Linked DNA regions of Macaca mulatta. The protein of the gene in region 3 interacts with the protein of the main gene of each other region in a pairwise test. Links are inferred from orthologs where the notes say so. Each region holds a gene or a part of one and is shown on either strand. Other genes may lie near its edges.

The links. The genes of interacting proteins can lie anywhere in the genome.
Region 1: the proteins of TSC22D4 (region 3) and ZMYND10 interact in binary tests that used the Homo sapiens proteins (3 or more experiments, as listed by UniProt). The two-hybrid records come from large-scale screens. The link is inferred for Macaca mulatta from reciprocal best matches to the Homo sapiens genes TSC22D4 and ZMYND10.
Region 2: the proteins of TSC22D4 (region 3) and MAD2L1 interact in binary tests that used the Homo sapiens proteins (3 or more experiments, as listed by UniProt). The two-hybrid records come from large-scale screens. The link is inferred for Macaca mulatta from reciprocal best matches to the Homo sapiens genes TSC22D4 and MAD2L1.

What each region holds. Positions count from the first base shown.
Region 1 is NC_133407.1:113,820,604-113,827,860, reverse strand, and holds ZMYND10 (zinc finger MYND domain-containing protein 10), read left to right. Parts: upstream 1-2,491; 5' UTR 2,492-2,717; coding exon 2,718-2,809; intron 2,810-3,070; coding exon 3,071-3,179; intron 3,180-4,441; coding exon 4,442-4,558; intron 4,559-4,675; coding exon 4,676-4,729; intron 4,730-4,847; coding exon 4,848-4,985; intron 4,986-5,085; coding exon 5,086-5,174; intron 5,175-5,273; coding exon 5,274-5,374; intron 5,375-5,639; coding exon of another isoform or gene 5,640-5,725; coding exon 5,726-5,898; intron 5,899-6,154; coding exon 6,155-6,280; intron 6,281-6,362; coding exon 6,363-6,484; intron 6,485-6,595; coding exon 6,596-6,721; intron 6,722-6,809; coding exon 6,810-6,885; 3' UTR 6,886-7,183; downstream 7,184-7,257. Other genes in the region: GATOR1 complex protein NPRL2, read left to right, coding at 59-126. UniProt on the Homo sapiens protein: Plays a role in axonemal structure organization and motility. Involved in axonemal pre-assembly of inner and outer dynein arms (IDA and ODA, respectively) for proper axoneme building for cilia motility.
Region 2 is NC_133410.1:128,904,808-128,912,026, forward strand, and holds the start of MAD2L1 (mitotic spindle assembly checkpoint protein MAD2A), read right to left. Parts: upstream 4,767-7,219; 5' UTR 4,692-4,766; coding exon 4,619-4,691; intron 3,780-4,618; coding exon 3,633-3,779; intron 35-3,632; coding exon 1-34. UniProt on the Homo sapiens protein: Component of the spindle-assembly checkpoint that prevents the onset of anaphase until all chromosomes are properly aligned at the metaphase plate.
Region 3 is NC_133408.1:47,675,677-47,682,745, reverse strand, and holds the start of TSC22D4 (TSC22 domain family protein 4), read left to right. Parts: upstream 1-2,509; 5' UTR 2,510-2,930; intron 2,931-3,365; exon of another isoform or gene 3,366-3,468; 5' UTR 3,469-3,634; coding exon 3,635-4,396; intron 4,397-7,069.

The DNA of each region.
Region 1 (7,257 bases), on a different chromosome or scaffold from region 3:
GGTCAGGGTAGGGTGGCCAGGCCAAGGCCACCGACCTCTCCTCCACCACCCCACCCAGGCATGAGCTACCATGAGCTGGATGAGCGGCTTGAAAATGACCCCAACATTATCATCTGCTGGAAGTGAGGCTGGTGGTGGCTGGATGGACACATTGCTGTGGGTAGTCCCTCCTACCAGGAGGCTTGTCATACTGTCTAGAGCTTGACTCTTAGTTCTGTAAATAAAGACATCCATTTCAAACAGCCTTTATTGAGTGCTGCTTCTGGGCCAGCCACCGGAGACCCAGCGGTGAATGAAATAGCTACGAGCTGTGCTCTAGATCGCCATCTGGTGGGCAGGACCGACAATCGACAAGTAAAAGTGCCGGTTAATTACAAAAAAAAAAAAAAATCGTCTGGTCGCGGTGACTCACCTGTAGCCCCAGTTACTCAGGAGGCTGAAGTGGGGGGATCACTTGAGGCCAGGAGTTGGAGGCTACATTTAGCTGTGATCCCATCACTGCACCCCAGCCTGGGTGATAGAGCAAGACCCCATCTCAATAATAATAATAAACCTAGAAAGAAACAGATGTAGCTGGGTGCTGTGGCTCATACCTATAATCCCAGCACTTCGGGAGGCTGAGACGGGTAGATCACCTGAGGTCAGATGGTCAAGAACAACCTGGCCAACATAGTGAAACCCCATCTCCACTAAAAAAAATATAAAAAATTAGCCAGGTGTGGTGGTGCGCACCTGTAATCCCAGCTACTCAGGAAGCTGAGGCAAGAGAATCACTTGAACCTGGGAGGCAGAGGTTGCAGTGAGCCGAGATCATGCCACTGCACTCCAGCCTAGGTGACAGGAGACTCAATCTCAAAAAAAGGAACAGATGTGATCAAGAGTGAGTTGGGAGGTCGAGGCAGGTGGATCACGAGGTCAGGAGTTCAAGACCAGCCTGGCCAAGGTGGTGAAACCCTGTCTCTACTAAAAATACAAAAAACCGCGTGTGTGGTGGGTGCCTGTAATCCCAGCTACTTGGGAGGCTGAGGCAGAGAATGGCTTGAACCCAGGAGGTGAAAGTTGCAGTGAGTGAGACCACACCACTGCACTCCAGCCTGGGTGACAGACTGAGACTCTCAAAAAAAAAAAAAAAAAAAAAAAAAAAAAAAAAAGTGGGTTGGAGGCAGGGACTGCTCTGGATTAAACGGCCAAGAAAGGCCATACTGAGATGTAAACTGAGCCCTGAAGGAAGAGTATTCCAGGCAAAGTGCAAAACCCTGAGGCAAAACCTCTTTGGAATGTATGAGGTAGGTCCAGGGAAGAAAGGAGGAGAGGAAAGAATCCAAGTCCCGAGGTACAAGACAGGCAAGAAGTAGGTCTTGCAGAGCTGCTGGTAAGCAGCACCCGACCTAGCATTTTGAGGGCCAGAGGTAGTTGCAGAGCCCCTCTCATGTGAAGGAATGATGCCTATACACTTTTTTTTTTTTTTTTTTGAGACAGAGTCTCCCTTTGTTGTCCAAGCTGGAGTGCAGTGGTGGAATCTTGCCTCACTGCAAACTCCGCCTCCTGTGCTCAAGCGATTCTCCTGCCTCAGTCTCCCGAGTAGCTGGGACAACTGGTGTGTGCTACCACACCTGTCTAATTTTTGTACTTTTTTTTTTTTTTTGAGACGGAGTCTTGCTCTGTGGCCCAGGCTGGAGTGCAGTGGCCTGATCTCAGCTCACTGCAAGCTCCGCCTCCCGGGTTTACGCCATTCTCCTGCCTCAGCCTCCCAAGTAGCTGGGACTACAGGCGCCCGCCACCTCGCCCGGCTAGTTTTTTGTATTTTTTAGTAAAGACGGGGTTTCACCGTGTTAGCCAGGATGGTCTCGATCTCCTGACCTCGTGATCCGCCCGTCTCGGCCTCCCAAAGTGCTGGGATTACAGGCTTGAGCCATCGCGCCCGGCCTAATTTTTGTACTTTTAATAGAGACAGGGTTTCACCATGTTGCCCAGGCTGGTCTCAAACTCCTGACCTTAAGTGATCTGCCCGCCTCGGCCTCCCAAAGTGTTGAGATTACAGGCGTGAGCCACCGCGCCCGGCGTGATACACACTTTTAAGGCTCCGGGGCTGTCCGTGAGGATCAAGCGTGGAAGTAAGTCTACAGAAAAGGCTGCCGCAGTTAACCCACGACAGGTGATGACAGTCTGGACATAGGGAGGATGGAGAGAAGTCGTGCGCCCTGGCAGTATTTCAGGAGCCAACTAATGGAGCCGGGACGCGAGAAACAGAGGAATCAGGAAGCCATAAGGAGGAGGTGGAGCAGCGGGTGGGTCAAGATGCCGCAGCAGCAGCAGGAGGAGCTCGTGGGGTCGGGGTTACCCCCATCCCCGTGCAAGCCGACTTGGCGTCCGAGGGCAGAGTCCAGACCACAAGGAACTGGAGCTCAGGAGAGACTCGTGGTCCACATCGCGAGAAAGCTGTGGGAATCCAAATACTGTGGCGATTGGCAGCCCCGTAGGCGAGGCGGGCTGGAGACCCGCCCGGATTTAGGCGCGAGCCACCTCCAGGGGCGGAGCCCAGGCCGCACTGCGCAGGCGCGGCTAACCCGTTTCCATGGCTGCGAGAACTCACGCTCCCCAACCGTCCCACAACTGTCCTGTCCCAGACTTTGGCACCGTCGGGGTCCGTCGTCCCCGAGTGTGTCAGCATCCCCACCCCGGCTGCTGCCCAGGATCCGCCGGACCCCGGCCTCGATATGGGAGACCTGGAACTGCTGCTGCCCGGGGAAGCTGAAGTGCTGGTGCGGGGTCTGCGCAGCTTCCCGCTACGCGAGATGGGCTCCGAAGGGTGAGGCACCCGGGTCAGGCGGAGTCACGGAGTCATTGTCCCTGAGTGGGGGAGCTGGAGCCTGACATGGGGGGAGGGGCTGCCCAGTGTGGAGGGGCTCCCAAATGGGGGAGCAGAGTGTTCCGAGACAGGAATATAATTGTTCCTGAGCCCCCTGTGCCCCCTCAGGATCAGGTTAGGCTTCAATAGGATCCAGCCCCCATCCCCACTCCAAATGCACACACGTGGACCCACATGCACTTACACAACCCTCTGAGGCAGGTGGAACCAGCAGCACGAGAACCTGGAGAAGCTGAACATGCAAGCCATCCTGGATGCCACAATCAGCCAGGGCGAGCCCATTCAGGAGCTGCTGGTCACCCATGGGAAGGTACCCCGAGGTCACAGGCAGGGTTCCTGCCTTCCCCCATACCTCACCTACTCTAACCCTCAGGAGTCCCCTGTGTGCTTTTCCCCTCTGGCCTGGTACACCTGTCCTCCCTGAAGGGGAGAGAGGAATGTGTTACATGTTTCATTTTGTGTCGCTGTTGGACAGGACTCTGGCACACCAGGCTAGGTACAGGGCATGAGTTGATTAGGGAGAAAGCTGTAGGTCCTAAAACAGCTTAGGCTTCGAGGGGAAGGCCCAAATGCTAAAGGCATCTGTGAATTGACTGTAAGGCTGGGGAGGGGGTGGGGAGGGCAGGAGGGAGGGGAGATAACTTAACTGGAAGTAGAACTTTGGCATGGAAGGAGGCAGCCTTCCTAACATGAGAGGGGAAAGTTAGAAACCAATGAGATGGCTGGCTGGAACATGGACCAGGGAGTGTCACCAGCAGATGACCTGAGATATCAATTGACCAAAAAAAAAAAAAAAAAAAAAAAAAGCCAGGCATGGTGGCTCATGCCTGTAATCCTAGCACTTTGAGAGGCCAAGACGGGTGGATCACCTGGGGTCAGGAGTGCAAGGCCAGCCTGACCAACATGGTGAAACCCTGCCTCTACTAAAAATACAAAAATTTGCTGAGCATGGTGGTGCACACCTGTAATCCCAGCTACTCGGGAGGCTGAGGCAGGAGAATCGCTTGAACCTAGGAGACAGAGGTTACAGAGAGCCGAGATCGTGCCACTGCACTCCAGCCTTGGTGACAAGAGTGAAACTCTGTCTTAAAAAAAAAAAGAGTTCCTTTGCAAGAGAAAGGTGGAACTCATACAAGGGGATAGGATAAGAAGAACAGGGCACTGTGAAGGGTCCTGAGTAAGAGTGAGGCCAAGGCACACAAGAGCCTTAGAGAACCACAGGACAGGGACAAGAGGGAGGGCATGAGCAGAAGGGCTGACTTGAAAGGGACGCCTGAATGGGCGGGGAGAGGATAAGGGGGCAGGTGCAGGCAGGGCAAGGCAGTCTGGGAACTGGGCAGGAGCCAGTCACATAAGCATGAGGGACATCCACAGAGGTGTTGGGAGCAGCTGGAAACGAAGGTCCGAAATGCAAGAGAAAAGTCAGGAAGGATAGCCATGGGGTTTGGGATAGTTTAGGGGCCCAGCAGTGTTTGGGGAGATCTGGGCTGAGCTGAGCCAAGCTGGGGATAGGAGGGTTGCCAGGCAAAGGTAGGCCCATCTCATCCCTGTCCTTTACCCCATCCTTCAAAGGTCCCAACGCTGGTGGAGGAGTTGATCGCAGTGGAGATGTGGAAGCAGAAGGTGTTCCCCGTGCTCTGCAGGGTGGAGGACTTCAAGCCCCAGAACACCTTTCCCATCTACATGGTGGTGAGCTGGGCCCCTGGTTCATACCTCCTCCCACTCCTTCAGAGGGCTCTGGACTGGGGAGGGGAGCTGGTAGCCCCTATCCCTACCACAGGCCCTGTCCCTCTCTTTGTCTGTCAGGTGCACCACGAGGCCTCCATCATCAACCTCTTGGAGACAGTGTTCTTCCACAAGGTGAGGGACTATCTCTGCCCATGGGCCACAGTTTCAGGTCAGGGCCTGGCAGGAAGGGAGGTTGTATCTGTGTGGGGAGGGCATCAGACACAGAAAGTTTCCCTCCCCCTTTCCCCAGGAGGTGTGTGAGTCAGCAGAAGACACTGTCTTGGACTTGGTAGACTATTGCCACCGCAAACTGACTCTGCTGGTGGCCCGGAGTGGCTGTGGTGGCCCCCCTGAAGGGGAGGGGTCCCAGGACAGCAACCCCATGCAGGTGGGTTGAGGTTACCTAGGATTGTGAAAGCCTAGGTCTGGGTTCCCCAAGGCCTGCACAGGCAAGGGTAGCCCAGCATGAACACTGTGTGACCTCGCAGGAGCTGCAGAAGCAGGCAGAGCTGATGGAATTTGAGATTGCACTGAAGGCCCTCTCAGTACTGCGCTACATCACAGACTGTGTGGACAGGTGGGCAGTCCGACTGGGCCTGGGCCTACCGTGGAGGGCTGGAAGACTGGGCCTGTAGCCTGCCTCTGCTCACCTCCTTCACAACGTCCCTGCCCCTAGCCTCTCTCTCAGCACCTTGAGCCGTATGCTTAGCACACACAACCTGCCCTGCCTCCTGGTGGAACTGCTGGAGCATAGTCCCTGGAACCGGCGGGAAGGAGGTAGGGTCCTCCCACACCAGCCTAAGCCCCAGGCTACTGCTTCAGGATATCTTTTTGATAGAGGGGGCAGTTTGCACACACGAAGACAAACCCCGTCCCCAAGCCCATCTGAGGATACCAGGATGCCTCAGCCAAGAGTGGCCTAGACCTGAGCTCTGCAGCAGGCCAGGCCCATGTGTCCACTACTGAGGCTCACTCTGCTCTGGGGTCAGCAGCACTATAGCCTGGGCAAGTCCTGTGGCCCAGGTTCTCCCACCATTCCCAGGCAGTGGTCAGTCTCCCAGGCCCCACAGCTGGCTCACTTGAAGAGAATGCAATGCCTGTACCCAGTGTGCTGGTTCCTCTCCCCAGGCAAGCTGCAGCAGTTCGAGGGCAGCCGTTGGCATACTGTGGCCCCCTCAGAGCAGCAAAAGCTGAGCAAGTTGGACGGGCAAGTGTGGATAGCCCTGTACAACCTGCTGCTAAGCCCTGAGGCCCAGGCGCGCTACTGCCTCACAAGTTTTGCCAAGGGACAGCTACTCAAGGTCGGACTCCCTCTGCACCAGCCCCCACAGCCCCAGCACCGCCCTCCCCATCCTACCCTGACCCTGTCCCTGCTGTTTATCTTTGCCCACCCACCTCAAACCCCGTGCTCTTTTCAGTCCTTGGGCCTCAGGTGACACACCAGCTAGTGGGACATGGACCCCCACAGGCATGCTCAGCCCAACCCAGCCCCTTCCTTTTCCGTGGCCCCCTGGCCAGCACCTGCATCACACTGGCCTCCACTGGACACTCTTGCAGCTTCGGGCCTTCCTCACAGACACACTACTGGACCAGCTGCCCAACCTGGCCCACTTGCAGAGTTTCCTGGCCCATCTGGCCCTGACTGAAACCCAGCCCCCTAAGAAGGACCTGGTGTTGGAACAGGTAGACACTGGAAAGTTAGCTCCTCAGGACCACTGTCCTACTTTACCAGCACCTTCCTGCCACTCTCCACTCCTTTCCCTAGATCCCAGAAATCTGGGAGCGGCTGGAGCGAGAAAACAGAGGCAAGTGGCAGGCAATTGCCAAGCACCAGCTCCAACATGTGTTCAGCCCCTCACAGCAGGACCTGCGGCTGCAGGCACAAAGGTAAGTCCTGTGGAACTGGCAGGAGGAGTGGATGGGATGCAGGAGGCATGGATGTGGGCAGGGATGCCCCCACCTTCCAAGGCCAGTCAGATCTTCCTGACTTTCCCCCAGGTGGGCTGAGACCTACAGGCTGGACGTGCTAGAGGCAGTGGCTCCAGAGCGGCCCCGCTGTGCTTACTGCAGTGCAGAGGCTTCTAAGCGCTGCTCGCGATGCCAGAATGAGTGGTATTGCTGCAGGTGAGGGTATCCTAGGACCTTGGACCCCTAAGTCCTACTGCCACATCCCCCACATGCACTGCCCTCCTCAACACCCACCTGCCTGCAGGGAGTGCCAAGTCAAGCACTGGGAAAAGCATGGAAAGACTTGTGTCCTGGCAGCCCAGGGTGACAGAGCCAAATGAGGGTTGCAGTTGCTGAGGGCCAACCACCTATGCCAAGGGAATCCACCCAGAATGCACCCCTGAACCTCAAGATCACGGTCCAGCCTCTGCCGGAGCCCCAGTCTCCGCAGTGGAGAGCAGAGCCAGCGGTAAAGCTGCTGACCCATCCCCCTCCTCCCCACCCCAAGGGAAGGCTCGAGACTTCCTGCCCCACCTGGTGGGCAGGCCAAGTGCGTTGCCTCAGCAAACTGGGCCAGGAGGGCGAAGGCCGGATGTGGGGACCCTCTTCCTCTAGCACAGTAAAGCTGGCCTCCAGAAACACGGGTATCTCCGTGTGGTGCTTTGCGGTCGCCGTCTTTGTGGCCATCCGGGGTGGGGTGTGAGGAGCGGACG
Region 2 (7,219 bases), on a different chromosome or scaffold from region 3:
ACCAGTTTCTGAACTGAACACTTGTATAACCAATCTGCAACACATAAAAATGAAGGCATCTTTCTTGGTCCACTGCATCATAAAGTAGCTCTCTTCTCAGGTCCTACTCCCTATCCTCAGCAAATTCCTACCACTGCTATCTTGGACTTCCTCCTACGTGCAAGAAAATTTGCACCATCAATACTCTAACTTCTGTTTTCAAATTCTCAGTATCTGTACCAGGTACAGTAATTGGTGCTGAGGACAGAATACTGAACATATGGTACTTTCATCCTAATCCAAGATAAAAGCATAGGAGATGGGCATTCATCTACTCATCACACCAATAAATGACAAATTATCATTGTAATGGCTGCTATGAAAGAGAGATGTAAGATGCAATGAGAGCATAAAAGAAGGAAAATTTGAGCCACTTACGGAGGTCAGAAAAGGTTTGAGTTTAGCTCTAGGGATAAACAGCATTAAATATGCAAAAGGATAGGAAAGAAGATACAGGCCTCAAATACTCACAAGGGAAGAGCATATAACTAGAAGACTGGAAGCAGCTCACTACAAGTGCAATCAAGAAACAAACAAACAAACAAAATAAAACAATACAATCCTTGCAAGATTAATAGAAGCCAGACCACGCAAAGCCTGGTGGATCAAATTTAAAAAATATGCACTTCAAGACCAGTGAAGTCATTACTGTGTGTGAAGCAGGATGTAAAGCAATTAGTCTTGTATTTCAAAACTATCATTCTAGCTGTGATATGGAAAGTAGACTGGAGATGTTAAAGAGGGGATCTAGAGACACTAGTTGGTCCATCAGTAATTCGAGCAAGAGTTAATGAAAGCTTGTAGGAGGATAAACTGGTAGAGACGAAGCAGTAGGTAAATGTAAGAGATTTCATGGTTAAAATTTATTGGGTTTAGTCATGGTAGTAAGGAAGAAGCATGATTCAGGGACAGCTTCCAAGTTTCTTTTATTTCTGTTTGGACGGTTTAGCCACTGACAGAGAGAAAATTAAAGAGTATCAGTTTTGGATATGATCCTAAATTTAATTTTTAGTATGCTTGAGTATATGTTATCTCTGGGATAGCTACATAAAGATATAGCTGCTGAATATATGAGTCTGGAGAAAGAGGCTTTGGGATAGATATATAAGTTTGTGAGTTGACTACACAGAGGTTGCTAGTGAAGCTATACACAGGTCAGAAATCACCTATAGAGAAATTATAAAGACAGAACGGGGGCTCAGATTGAGCCTTGAAGTAATCTTGGAAATTGAAACAGCATATTCAGGAGTCAGCGAAGTTTTTGTAAAGAAACTTTGTAAAGAAAAATTACAAAAAAGAGTAATTAGTAAATATTTTAAGCTTATAGGCCACCAAGGTCTCTGTTGCTTATTTTTAAACAAACCTGAAGTGTAAAAATATTCTTAGCTTGTGGGCAGTGCAAAAACAGGCCACCTGTTGGATGCGGCCTGTGGGCCTTGTGATCCCTGGCATTTATCAACAACTTTTTATGAGTTTCACTCTGAAAAGGAGGAGACTGGGTGGTAATTTGTTCTTCCTTTAAAACTGGAGAGATGAAAACAATGGGGATAATTAAAATCAAAACACAGAAGCAGAAAATATAACAGAGAACAGGATCAAGACCCTAAAAAAGGCTAGAGGAAATGACATTCAAAACAAAACAACTGGCTGGGTGTGGTGGCTCACGCCAGTAATCCCAGCACTTTGGGAGACAGAGGTGGGTGAATCACGAGGTCAGGAGTTCAAGACTAGCCTGGCCAAAATGGTGAAACCACGTCTCTGGTAAAAATACAAAAATTAGCCGGGCATAGTGGCAGGCGCCTATAATCTCAGCTACTCGGGAGGCAGAGGTTGCAGTGAGTGGAGATCACGCCACTGCACTCCAGTCTGGGTGACAGAGTGAGACTCCAAACAAAAAACAAACAGAACAACTTGCCTCTAGGGAAGAGCAATTTTTCCACTTTAACTAAAATAAAAGGGAGAAGTTAAATAGGAAGGTCTAGACACACATAACGTGAAGTGTCATCAATGCAGTCTCAAAGGAGACAACCTAAAAACCATTGGCTTCAATGCAGTCTCAAAGAAGACAACCTAAAAACCATTGGCTTAGGCAATGCTTGCTTCTCTAGCAAATTAAGATGGAAACACACATCCATAGTTGCCTAGAGGTTCCAGGCCAAATGATCTGAGTGCAGCCCTATGAATCACTACAGATGATTTATTCCTGACCCCCAATTTTGGATGCAACTCTGGGAGAGGTGGACACTCCTATCAATGTCTTTCCTGTGTACACTTGAGAACAGAGGTCTATTCCCACACCAAAAGAGGTCTCATCTTGCTATTTTGACAATACCAATCTACTACAGCAGCAGTTCTCAACTAAGGGCAATTTTGTCCCCTTGGGCACATCTGGCAATATAATTTATGGAGACACTTTTGGTTGTCAGAGCAAGGTGGTTTGTTACTGGCATTTGGTTAGTAAAGGCCATAGATGTTGGTAAACATTCTATAACACACAGAAAAGCACCCACACCAAAGAAATATCCAGGCCAAAATGTCAACAGGGCTATCTTCCCTTGCCTGTCAATTTAAGACGTAACATCCACAGGTTGTTGAGGCATTCCACTCCTGTACACATAAAAGGCAAGGCAATGTTAACAGTTTATCTAGAGGATAGTATAGGTTGAAAGAGAGTTATCAAGCTAAAAAAGTTCACATGGCCATTATCGGAAGGGCATATTAAAAATAGGTTAGTAAAAATGCAATAAAAACGGCAAAACAAAGACACATTTCTGGTCAACAACAAAAGAAATAATTTCTAAAAAAAAAAAAAAAAAAAAAAAAGATGCCCACTGTAGTACTTTCAAAAATTTTAGAAGATCAAATGGGAGAAACATTTGAAAAATTAGAAATGAGAATCCTAAGTGGAGGGTAACAAGAAAGAGAAACTAACAGGAATTCTAGAAAGGAAAAAGAAATAGATGAAGAACAAGTATTCACCCGACAGGTAATACAGCAATTTCTCGAACTAAAGAAAAACGAACGTTCAGACAGAAAAGGCTTACTGAATCACCGGCAGAATTTTTGAAAACGACAAACAGAAATATGTGAAAAACAAAACAAACAAACAAAAAAACTGTGAGTGTTCTGTCATTTAGCAGCTAATCTTTTTCTTTTTTTGAAGTTTATCTGGTTGAATCCAATTTCCTTGATATTAATCTAATGATAACATTAGACTACAGAAAACTAATTAGTTACAGAAAATACATTATATTGAGAATATGTAGTGTATATTTTCTCAGATAGTGAACACCATTATAATTATGTAAAATTCCAACCTGTTCCATTTGGCCACATTAACTGCGAAAGCCACTTCTAAGGGAGTTGATGAAGACTATTTTTCAGCCATATCAGATTTCTTACATCAAAATATTCAGCCCACTCACAATGTAGTGGGGGAAGAGTGAATTTCTTCCATTTTATATATTATTTGCTTCCTCTCAACTTAAAATATATTTGAGATGTGAGTACACTTCTATTTGCAGAGCGGAAAAATGACCACTTGAGATGCTAAAAAATCTGCAAGACTCAAATTATTTCCAATGATTAAATACCTTTTAGTTGTTCCACCACATTATTTAGGTATTTTATGAGCTCAAGATCAGTAGTTACAAGCAAGGTGAGTCCGTATTTCTGCACTCGAGTAAAAGTTTCAGATGGATATATGCCACGCTGATATAAAATGCTGTTGATGCCGAATGCTGCAAGCAAAAGAAATGTTACAGAAAATTCATTATCACTGCATAACTCTGGAAAATAAAATATATTTGGATGTGGCTATATTTTCATTAGGCTATACAGCTATAAATGACTGAACACACGTGTATCTTGCTGAAAGCAGAGTAGGTACAAAGTGGCATTAAAAATCCTTAAAAGTCTTGTATCTAAGTAAAAAAAGATAATTGTTTTCACGTGCCAAGGAAAAAAAAAGCCAAAGTGTATCAACCTACTATTGCCAAATTTCACCTCATTGTAATCCAAGTCCAAATTCAGATTATGAGGCTAGAGGATGTCAAAATAGGCTGTTGCATTCGAGTCAGCAACTGACTGAATAGTCACTTTGCTCCAGACAAGCCTGTATCTTCCCCTTTCCCTCCCAAATCCTGCCAGGTTCCTTTACAACGTGCAGCTGGCCTGTTCGAGAACAAGGGTTCCCAAAATCTTGTTTACCGCCAGCCTCATGCCTAATAATCACTTAGAGTGGGAGGGTGAGGGTGCTCTCGCAGTTAAAAAAAACACACACATACACACCCACACTGGGACCCACCCCAGTCACGCTGTGTCCTGTATCGGAAAGTAAGGGGTGGGAGGTGGGACGGATCTGCACTTAAAGGAAGAAACGCTCCGGAAGAGGCTACGCCGCGAGGTAGGCCCCAGCAGCACGCAGGCTTGCAGCTCCACGTTATAGCAACGCGTCAGGAGGAACAGCCTGCAGCCGCCGCTCCCAGATTACTTCTCCGGTCTCAGAGGCCGAGCTGTGGGCCTACTGAGCCGCCACGACTCAGTTCCCCCCAATATAATGGCCGGCGCGAGGACTTACAGAAGAACTCGGCCACGATTTCAGCGCTCCCGCGCAGGGTGATTCCCTGCTCCCGGGAGAGCTGCAGCGCCATGGCCAGGGACACAAACAAAGGCACGCACTTGCACTCGGCGGACAGCAACCACAGCGGCTCCCACAGCACTTCCCCGCCAAGCGTTTCAAAAGTAACGACGCAGCGCGTTGTCCGGTCCTCTGCGCAGGCGCGACGAGCCTCTAAGCCCCGCCCCACGCGGCGGGGCCCTGCCCTTTCTCTCCGCCTTCCTGCGATCTCGCGGGAACGGCCGGTTTGCGCAGGCGGAGTTGGTGGACCTGCTCGCGCTTGCCGGTTGTGACACTCCGGTAGGTTTAGGTTAGGCTGTGTCTTCTGGTCGTGGTTTACTAGTTGGGGCCGAGGGAAGAAGATGTCGATTCCAATTTCAGTAGCCGCTCTCTAGGCTTATGAACTGAAAGACCAAGGAGCACAGTTTCCGAGTTTCAAAGATACTTTCAAACTGAAAGGAACGGTTTGCCAGCTGCGCCCGTACTGGCCCATGTGACCCCTAGTGAAAGATCTAAACTTCCGCTAGATGCTTTGGGAATTCCTAAAGCGACTACGTGCACAGCAGCCAACCCACAGCTTTAGAGGGTTCGCCTTCTGTGTGGGAGCGCGGCTTTTCCCGAGAAATTGGGTTAGGGATTAAAGAGAACTGCATCCTTTTTTCTGCCCTTTGTCCACGTCTGTCCTGGGCTTAGGGCCACCCCTCCGAGGCCAGCGGGGTAGGCAAGTCGGGCGGTAGGGGGCTGCATCCGGAAGTCCAGGCTGCGTTCTGTCCACCCTGCCCACCCTTAGGGGGCAGGACAGGAATAAGGTCACCTCACCAAAGAGGCCCATCAACATTGAAGAATTTTTCAATGAATCTTGACTCACCAAACTCAATGACTTTTCATTGAAAAGGGTGAGAATTATTAAGGACATATTGCACAATTAATGTTCATGTCCATTTTGAAAGAAGTTTATTCTTAAAGCAGCTAGGAAGATATTTGTAAAACGACGCCTGAAAAACTCTCATATCTGCCAGACATTATAAGAGAAATACTTGAGTGTTGTTAGTTTTCCGTTTGCTGCATAACGAATTACCACACATCAGTGACTTCAAAACAACACCTATTCGTTTTCTCAGTCCTGTAGGTCAGAAGTCTGGACGTGGCATTGTTGACTGCTTTGCTCAGTCACACAAGGTTGAAATCGAAGGGTCTGCAAGTGGGATCTCATCTGAGGTTTGGGGTCCTTCTAAGCCCTCTGGCGGAATTTCCTTGGGGTTGTTGGACTGAGGTCCATTTTGTCTCGCCAGCTGTTGGCCAGAGGCCAGCTATGTTTGTCAGCTAGCCCTTCCACAAGCCTTCTCACACTTCCCATCTCTGTGATTTCGGGGAGACCCCAGCCCCTTTTAAAGGCTCACCTGATTAAGTCAGACCCAGTCACATCTCCCTTTTGATGAACCTAGTCCCAGAAGTGATATCTGCTCATATTTGTAGTTTTCCTACCCAGACTCCGGGGAGGGGATTATGTAGGTGTGCTCTCTAGGGGCCAGGAATGTGGGGAACTGGCTTAGAGTTCTGCCTGTACAGTGTTGTATATCATGTTTTGATCAGTTTGAAGAGTAAGGGATGGGTGTGATAGGTTGCAGGCTGACTTGACCCAGTAAATTTTCCTTAAATCCTTTCATCTCTGTGTGTGTATAAATCACAATCCTTGATGTGAAGAACAGTGTCAGGGAAAGTGCGGAGTAAGAAGCAAGAGAGTTGGATGTCCTTCGCGCCTTCCACTGGAAGCTTGGGTAGAGCTAGAATTTTGGCATCACGCTGGTAGAACATGGTGCCCATGTTTTTCCACATAAAAACTGCCTCTTGTTTCTAAGGAACTTGATATTAACAATCAGCACTTCCGGAAAGATTTTCTTGAGTTTCATGGTATTGTAGTTTTTAAGTTCTCTGAAGCTACAAATAATTTAGTATAACCTGGAAATTCTAGAAATTAAAAGACTGGCATAATTATGATTTTTCTGTGTACAGAGGAAGTACTAAATGTCTGTACCCTATGAGGAGACATAAGACATGAGGTTTAGAAGGAATGGTCTGTGTCTTTTGAGGAGTTTGTAGTCTACTTCGGTTTAAATATTTATACTTTTTTTTTTTTTTAATGAAAATTCGAAGTTCATGAGTTTGGCCTTATCTGGTTTCTGCCTGCATGGGAAGCCCGCTATTAGATTACTTTCCTCGTCTGTCTGCTCCTTTCAATAACTTGGCCCTCCATGTTCTTTTCCACCTTAGTACTTTCCATAATGTACATTCCTTCTCTACCCAGAAATTTCACTTTATCTGCTCAGATTCCTAATTATATTCACACTCTTTCTTAACTTAAATGTTACTTTGCTTAAAGACATTTTCGTTGGCCCTTCGGAACTGTATAAGGACCTCTCTGAAGTATTTTCATAGCATTCATAGTGCTACTTCAGAGCATTTCTTTTATGGTAAAAAATTGTATAATGATTTGTGTTATACCTGATCTGTTTTCTTGTATCAAAAATAAAATTAGGATGAATCTAAAAGTTTATTGTCATA
Region 3 (7,069 bases):
GTAGAGACGGGGTTTCACCGTGTTAGCCAGGATGGTCTTGATCTCCTGACCTCGTGATCCGCCCGTCTCGGCCTCCCAAAGTGCTGGGATTACAGGCTTGAGCCACCAGGCCGGCCCCAAAGATAATTTTTGGATAGTTTGTAGCAAGTCAGCAAGAAGGAAGGAGGGCCTGGGGACGGAGGGACCAAGGCCATGTTCTGAGTGTTGCTAGAGGAGAAGAGGTTCTGTGAGGGACAGAGGGATGCAGTCTGGAGGGGTAGGGAGCAGGTGGGAGGCTGCTTCCCAGACATCACTACTTGGGAGGCTCACAGACCTGGGCTATGGCAGTCATTGTTACTATGGCTTAAGGGAGAGAAACAGGAGTGTGGATGTTTCTAACAAAGAGATAAAGAACAAATACATAACGAGGGTAGGTATTCCATTGTTTTATTTTTACCTAACCCTAAAGAGGGGTTAGAAATTTCCCTGAGGCCAGGCACCATGGCTCACGCCTGTAATGTCAGTTTTTTGGAAGGCCCAGGTGGGAGTATCATTTGAGGCCAGCCTGGGCAACATAGTAAGACCCTGTCTCTATGAAAACTAAAAAATTAGCCAGGTGTGGTGGAGTACACCTGTGGTCCCAGCTACTAGGGAGGCAGAAGCAGGAGGATCACTTGAGGCCAGGAGTTCAAGACGACCCTGGGCAACATTGCAAGACCCCCATCTCTACCAAAAAAAATTTTTTTTTAAAGAAATTTAGCCAGGCGTAGTAGTGTGTGTCTGTAGTCCCAGCTACTTGGTAGGCTGAGGCGGGAGGACCAACTGAAGCCAGGAGTTTGAGACCATACTGGGCAACATGGTGAGAGCTCCCATCTCTACAAAAATTTAAAAATTAGCTGGGTGTGGTGGCGTGCATCTAAAGTCCTAGCTACTTGGGAGGCTGAGGCAGGAGCATGGCTTGAGCCTAGGAGTTCCAGGCTGTGGTGAGCTATGATCACACCACTGCACTCCATCCTGGGCAATAGAAGAGAGAGAGCGAGAGAGAGAGAGCACCTGTCTCTAAAAAAAATGTGGGGGAGTGGTTGGGGCAAAGGGAAATAGTATAACATCCAGGATTTGGTTTCAAATAGTCCAGCAAAATACAGCTGGCTCCCACATGTCATTTCATTGAATGTCATTTCATTATAACGTTGATGATTTTTTAAAAATTAATTTTGGGTTGGGACCACCATCCGTGTGGAGTTTGCATGGTCTCCCCATGTCTGCATGGCACGTTTGAAAATTTTCATAATAATCCACTTTTTTTTTTTTTTTTTTTTTTTTTGGTGAGACATGGTCTCATTCTGTTGCCCAGGCTGGAGTGCAGTGGCACAATGTAGGCTCACTGCATCCTCAACCTCCTGGGCTCAAGAGATTCTCCTGCCTCACAGCCTCCTGAGTAGCTGGGACTACAGGTCTACATCACCACACTCAGCTTTTTTTTTTTTTTTTTTTTAAGACGGTCTCGCTCTAATCGCCAGGCTGGAGTGCAGTGGCACGATCTCTACTCACCGCAACCTCCGCCTCCCGGGTTCAAGTGATTCTCCTGCCCCCTGAGTAGCTGGGACTACAGGCGCATGCCACCACACCTGGCTAATTTTTATATTTTTAGTAGAGATGGGGTTTCACCATGTTGGCCAGGATGGTCTCAATCTCTTGACCTCGTGATCCGCCCGCCTCGGCCTCCCAAAGTGCTATTTTTTAATTTTTTGTAGAGATGGGGATCTCGCTATATTGCCCAGGCTGGTCACAAACTCCTGGGCTCAAGGGATCCTCCCACCTCAGCCTTTGAGTAGCTGGAATTATAGGTGCACATCACCATGCCCAGCCAATTTTTTTTGTTTGTTTTGTAGAGACGAGGTCTTGCTATTATATTGTCCAAACTGGTCTCAAGCAATCCTCCTTCCTTGACCTCCCAAAGTGTGGGGATTACAGGCATGAGCCACCACCGGGGTCCGGCAATAATCCACTTTTAAAAATAAGGAATGGGGGGAATAATAGTACCTTCCTCATGCAGTTGCTGTGAAAACCAAAGGAGAATGACAGCCACAGCCGCCCCGCAGCAGGGACTGGGCACTTCTGGGTGGGCATCCAGCACACCTCCCGGCCTGTGCCTTCCGTTTCTTCTGTGTGTCTCTAGGCCAATGGCAGCAACTGACTACAAGTAAGGGAATCCCTCGCCTCCCTGCAAGCTCCTCCCCTTTCTCCCCGAGCCCCGCCCTCTGCAGCCCCTGCCTGCAAGAGTGGGGCTGGGCCCGGCAGGTGTGGGGTTAAGAGAGTCTGTTTGGGGCCCCCAGGAGCAGCAGCCTAAGCAGTGGCTGCAGCAACTGCAACAGCAGCGGCTGTGGCAGGCCTGGCCCCGGGCCAGCTGGCGGGAAGCCCCAGGAGGGAGGGAGGGAGGAGGAAGGGGAGGAGGAGGGGAAGGAGGAGGAGGAGGAGGAGGAGAGGAGCAGTCAGCAGGCCCGAGGAGGCAGGACTTCCTGGTGTGGGGGTTGTCAACAGCTCAGAAGGAGAAAGACGGAGAGGCAGAGACCCAGGGGAGCGGAGGAGCGGAGACACGGACCCAGCGGGGCCACGCGGGAGGAGACTCGAGACACCCACTCGCTGGCTGCCACCGGGAGCAGCGGGGGGCTCGGCCGCCCTCTCCCACATCAGTCTCCAGACCCCTGGGGCTTCAGCGGCCGCTCCTGGGCTCCTCGGAGGAGCCGCGGGTTCCTTCTTTTCCGGAGAGCAAACTTTCCTCGGAGATGCCTCCCAGGATGAGCTGAGGCCCCCGGAGAGGACGGGGCAACCTCTGATCGCCGCCTGCGTGCCCCGCCACTCCCCCTGGCCAGAAGGCCCCAGGGAACGCACAGCCCGACCTCTTAGGCGCCGGGACCCTCAGGCTCAGATCAGTGGCTGAGGCCCCAGAGGTAGGATTCGGGGCTGGGTGGGGCGCTGGGGGTAGCCGGGCAGGGCCTGCCCCAGGGATGTGGGAGCTGGGGTGGGCTCGAGGCCCAGGAGAGGTCTCTCTGAGTGGCCGGGCCAGGCTGGGGAGCTGCTTCACCCCGGTTCTCCCAGGCCCTGGAGTCCAAGCTCTTGGGACAATACCCGCCCCCTGAGTCAGAATCTCAGATGAGAAATGCACAACTCTGGAACTCATCTGCCTCTTCCTACTCTGAGCGCCTTTTTGGATCTGGTCCCCTCTGCCCTGGTCTCTGTCATCTCTTGCCTGTCTCCGGGTCTCTGACGGTTTCCCCTTCCCCCACTCTGCTCCCCGGAGAGGAAGCCCCGGAGGTGGCCTGCCCACTGGTTTCACACACACACACAGACACACACACACACTCTCTCTCTCCCTCTTTTTCCAGTTTGCAAACTCAGCTCTGGAGTTCAGCAGCAACAGCAGCAGGAAAAACCTGCCCGTGCTCCCCCCTCCCGCCACCTCCCCTCTCCTCTTCTCCCCTCACCCAGCAGGCACCCCGGGTTCCCACCAGGCCCTCCTGCCATGTCGGACCCAGACGTCCCCAGGGGCCCGGATGCCCCCACCATGTGGCCCCCTTGTTCCAGGGGTGCCTGAGCCCCTTCAAGGAGTCCCAACCCACCCCCAACCTTGGCCCAGCCCTGAGCCCCAGGGACCATGAGCGGGGGCAAGAAGAAGAGTAGTTTCCAAATCACCAGCGTCACCACAGACTATGAGGGCCCGGGGAGCCCAGGGACTTCAGATCCGCCTACTCCACAGCCCCCCACCGGGCCCCTGCCCCGCCTGCCCAGTGGGGAGCCCAGCCCTGATCCGGGGGGCAAGGGCACCCCCCGGAATGGCTCCCCACCACCTGGGGCCCCCTCCTCCCGTTTCCGGGTGGTGAAGCTGCCCCACGGCCTGGGAGAGCCATATCGCCGTGGTCGCTGGACGTGTGTGGATGTTTATGAGCGAGACCTGGAGCCCCACAGCTTCGGCCGACTCCTGGAGGGAATTCGAGGGGCCTCAGGGGGCGCCGGGGGCAGATCTTTGGATTCCAGGTTGGAGCTGGCCAGCCTCGGCCTGGGCACCCCCACCCCACAGTCAGGCCTGTCTCAGGGCCCCACCTCCTGGCTCCGTCCACCCCCCACCTCTCCCGGACCTCAGGCCCGCTCCTTCACTGGGGGACTGGGCCAGCTGGTGGTGCCCGGCAAAGCCAAGGCAGAGACACCCCCACTGTCGGCCTCCCCACCCCAGCAGCGCCCCCCAGAGCCTGGGACCGGTGAGAGTGCGGGCACATCCCGGGCTGCCACGCCCCTGCCCTCTCTGAGGGTGGACGCGGAGGCTGGGGGCTCAGGGACCAGGACCCCTCCACTGTCCCGGAGGAAAGCTGTAGACATGCGGCTGCGGATGGAGTTGGGTGCTCCAGAGGAGATGGGGCAGGTAAGACCTGGGTTCTAGGGCTCGCCCATCAGCCCTGGCCTAACCTCTATCTTGGGACTCCCTCCTCCCACCCCTTCTCCTCCCCTTCCTTCTCCCCCTCCTCCTTCCCGTCCCTTCCCCTCCCCTCCCCCTCCCCCTCCTCCTCCATTACTTGTCTATCAGATCAGACAGCCCTCTTCTCTGTGCCTGCCAGGTCACTCTGAAGCCCCTTCCTCCTCCTTCATTTTCTGTCTCAGCCTCCTTCCTGTTTTTCTGCACCCTCTCTCTTTCTCCCTGGCCTCTGATTCTCTGTCTTGGTCTTCATGTAGCCTATAGCATATGTGGCCCCCTCACCAGGCCTTCTTCTGTCTTGGTCTCAGCCCCTCTGCCTCTAGGTGATGAGGGTGGAGGCCTCAGCTGGGTAGCTGGGTCCCTGGGGGAGGAGCTGCCAGGATTTGGGGAGGAAAGGTAAAAGGTAGGCTTTGCGCGCTGCTAGTCTCTGCACTGCAGCCCCATCCTGAATGTAGGGGTCTTTCTTTTCCCCCAGCCACCCATCTCAGTCCTACCTCCAGCTTTGCTGTAGGCCAAGTGTCACTGAGAAATTGGGTGGGGGGAACACCTCTCAGGGATGGGGAGGGGGCTTGCTGGTTGATCCTTTTCACCCCCCAGTTGTCTGTCTCAACTCCCTCCATCTGAGCCTCTCTGTGATTGATAACTCCAGGGTGACCACCATGGAGTGGGGGAGAAAAGCCCCAGAAGGAGTTCAGTCCCATACTCTTTCTCCTTCCTGTCTCCAAAAGAGGAACAAGTCCGGGCTGGGGGGGCAGCATGCCTGGGTCCCCGTGGTGGGGGTGAGCAGCCAGAGACAAAAGGGTGGGATACTTCTGTCCTGCGGGGAGAATATAACACCTCGGAGGGCTGGGGAAAGGCAGGGGGTGTGAGGATGCGAACTCTTTCCCCTTCCTGGCCTTGGGCACAAACCACAGTATAAAAATAACCTGGGACTGGATGTCTGGGTCCTGTCAGGACCGGTCAGGACTGGCTCCCCCCAACCCCCTCCTGGCCTCAAGCTCACGTCTCTCGTGACGCCCCTTCCTACCACTCCCCACCCCCTCCCCGCCCAACTCTTCTTGAACTCCTGCATTCAGCACCCACCCCAGGGGAGAAGATGCTGTTTCTCTTCCTGTCCTGTCCCCAGACTCTTCCAAAGCAAACCCCCTTGGCCTCCAGCTTCCCTGCTCTCTGTCCTTAAGCCTGGCCTGAGCTTCTCTTGGGGCCACAGACCCTGCCTGTCTCTCTCCAGTGCCCCCTGCTCCCCAGCTTTCCCCCACCTCCTGACGGTCTGCTGTTTGCACGTAACTGTTTTGCTATTTCCCTGCCCAAAAGTCTGTCTCCCTTCCACATCCCCTCATGCCTCTTCTCCCTCTTAACAGAAGGGAGTGGTGGAGAATGGCCAGGGGACACCACCTGGGCCCCCTTCCTCTGCTCTGTCCCTCTAACCACCCTGGACTCTCTGTTCTTGGCTTTTCTGAGAAGCTGGGGCCTCCCGGGGCCTCACAGAGGCGTCTTGTCATGTTCCTGTCGCCCCCGCCCTTTTTGCTGCCGCCCCCAGCGCCTGTTGGGCTATGCAGGTCCACGCCCAGGCTCCGCCTCCCCCCAGCTCCACAACCAGCCCCCGCCAACCCCAGGGCTGAGCGCAGGAGCAGAATTCCACCTGAGTCCGAGAAGTTTGAGAGGGGAGGCGAGAGTGAGGGGTGGGTGAGGGGATGGAGGAGCAGTTTCTGAGGATCCATTCATTCTACAAATAGCTACTGAGCAAACTGACCTTCTAGCCGGGGAGAGACACAATAAATACTTTAATTTCAGATAATGTTAGGTGCTATAAAAAAAATGAAACAGTTCAGTGGACCAGTGAATGATGGGGAAATACCTCTCTAAGAGGTGACATTGGAGTCATTTTAAGAAGGCAGCCTGGGTGCAGTGGCTCACACCTATAATCCCAGCACTTTGGGAGGCTGAGGTGGGAGGATCACTTGAGGTCAGGAGTTCAAGACCAGCCTGGCCAACATGGTGAAACCCTGTTGTCTCTACTGAAAATAGAAAAATTTGCCAGGTGTGATGGCGGGCGCCAGTAGTCCTGGCTACTCAGGAGACCGAGGCAGGAGAATCACTGTAACCCGGAAGGCAGAGGTTGCAGTGAGCCAAGATCACATCACTGCACTCCAGCATGGGTGACAGAGCGAGACTCCAGCAAAGGCACAGGCTGGGAGCGGTGGCTTATTCTCCCAGCACTTTGGGAGGCTGAGGCAGGAGGATCACTTGAGCCCAGGAGTTTGAGACCAGCAGGGACAACATACTGAGACCCTGTGTTAACAAAAAATAAAAAATTAGCCAGTTACGGTGGTGCGCGCCGTAACTGTCCAGCTACTCGGGTGGCTGAGGCTGGAGGATCACTTAAGCCTGGGAATTCGAGGCTGCAGTGAGCCATGATTGTGCTACTGCACTCCACCCTAGCTGACAGAGTGACTGTCTCAAAAAAATAAAATAAAATATAAAAGAAGGCAGACACTCTGAGTAGCCTCTGTTTAGGGTCCCGGCCCAGGGGGAGCAGGGACTTTGGAGTCTATTCTCGGTTCTTCCATCAGTCCCCCGCTCCTCCCACTTGGGAGACCCTCTGTAATGTCCCATACACCA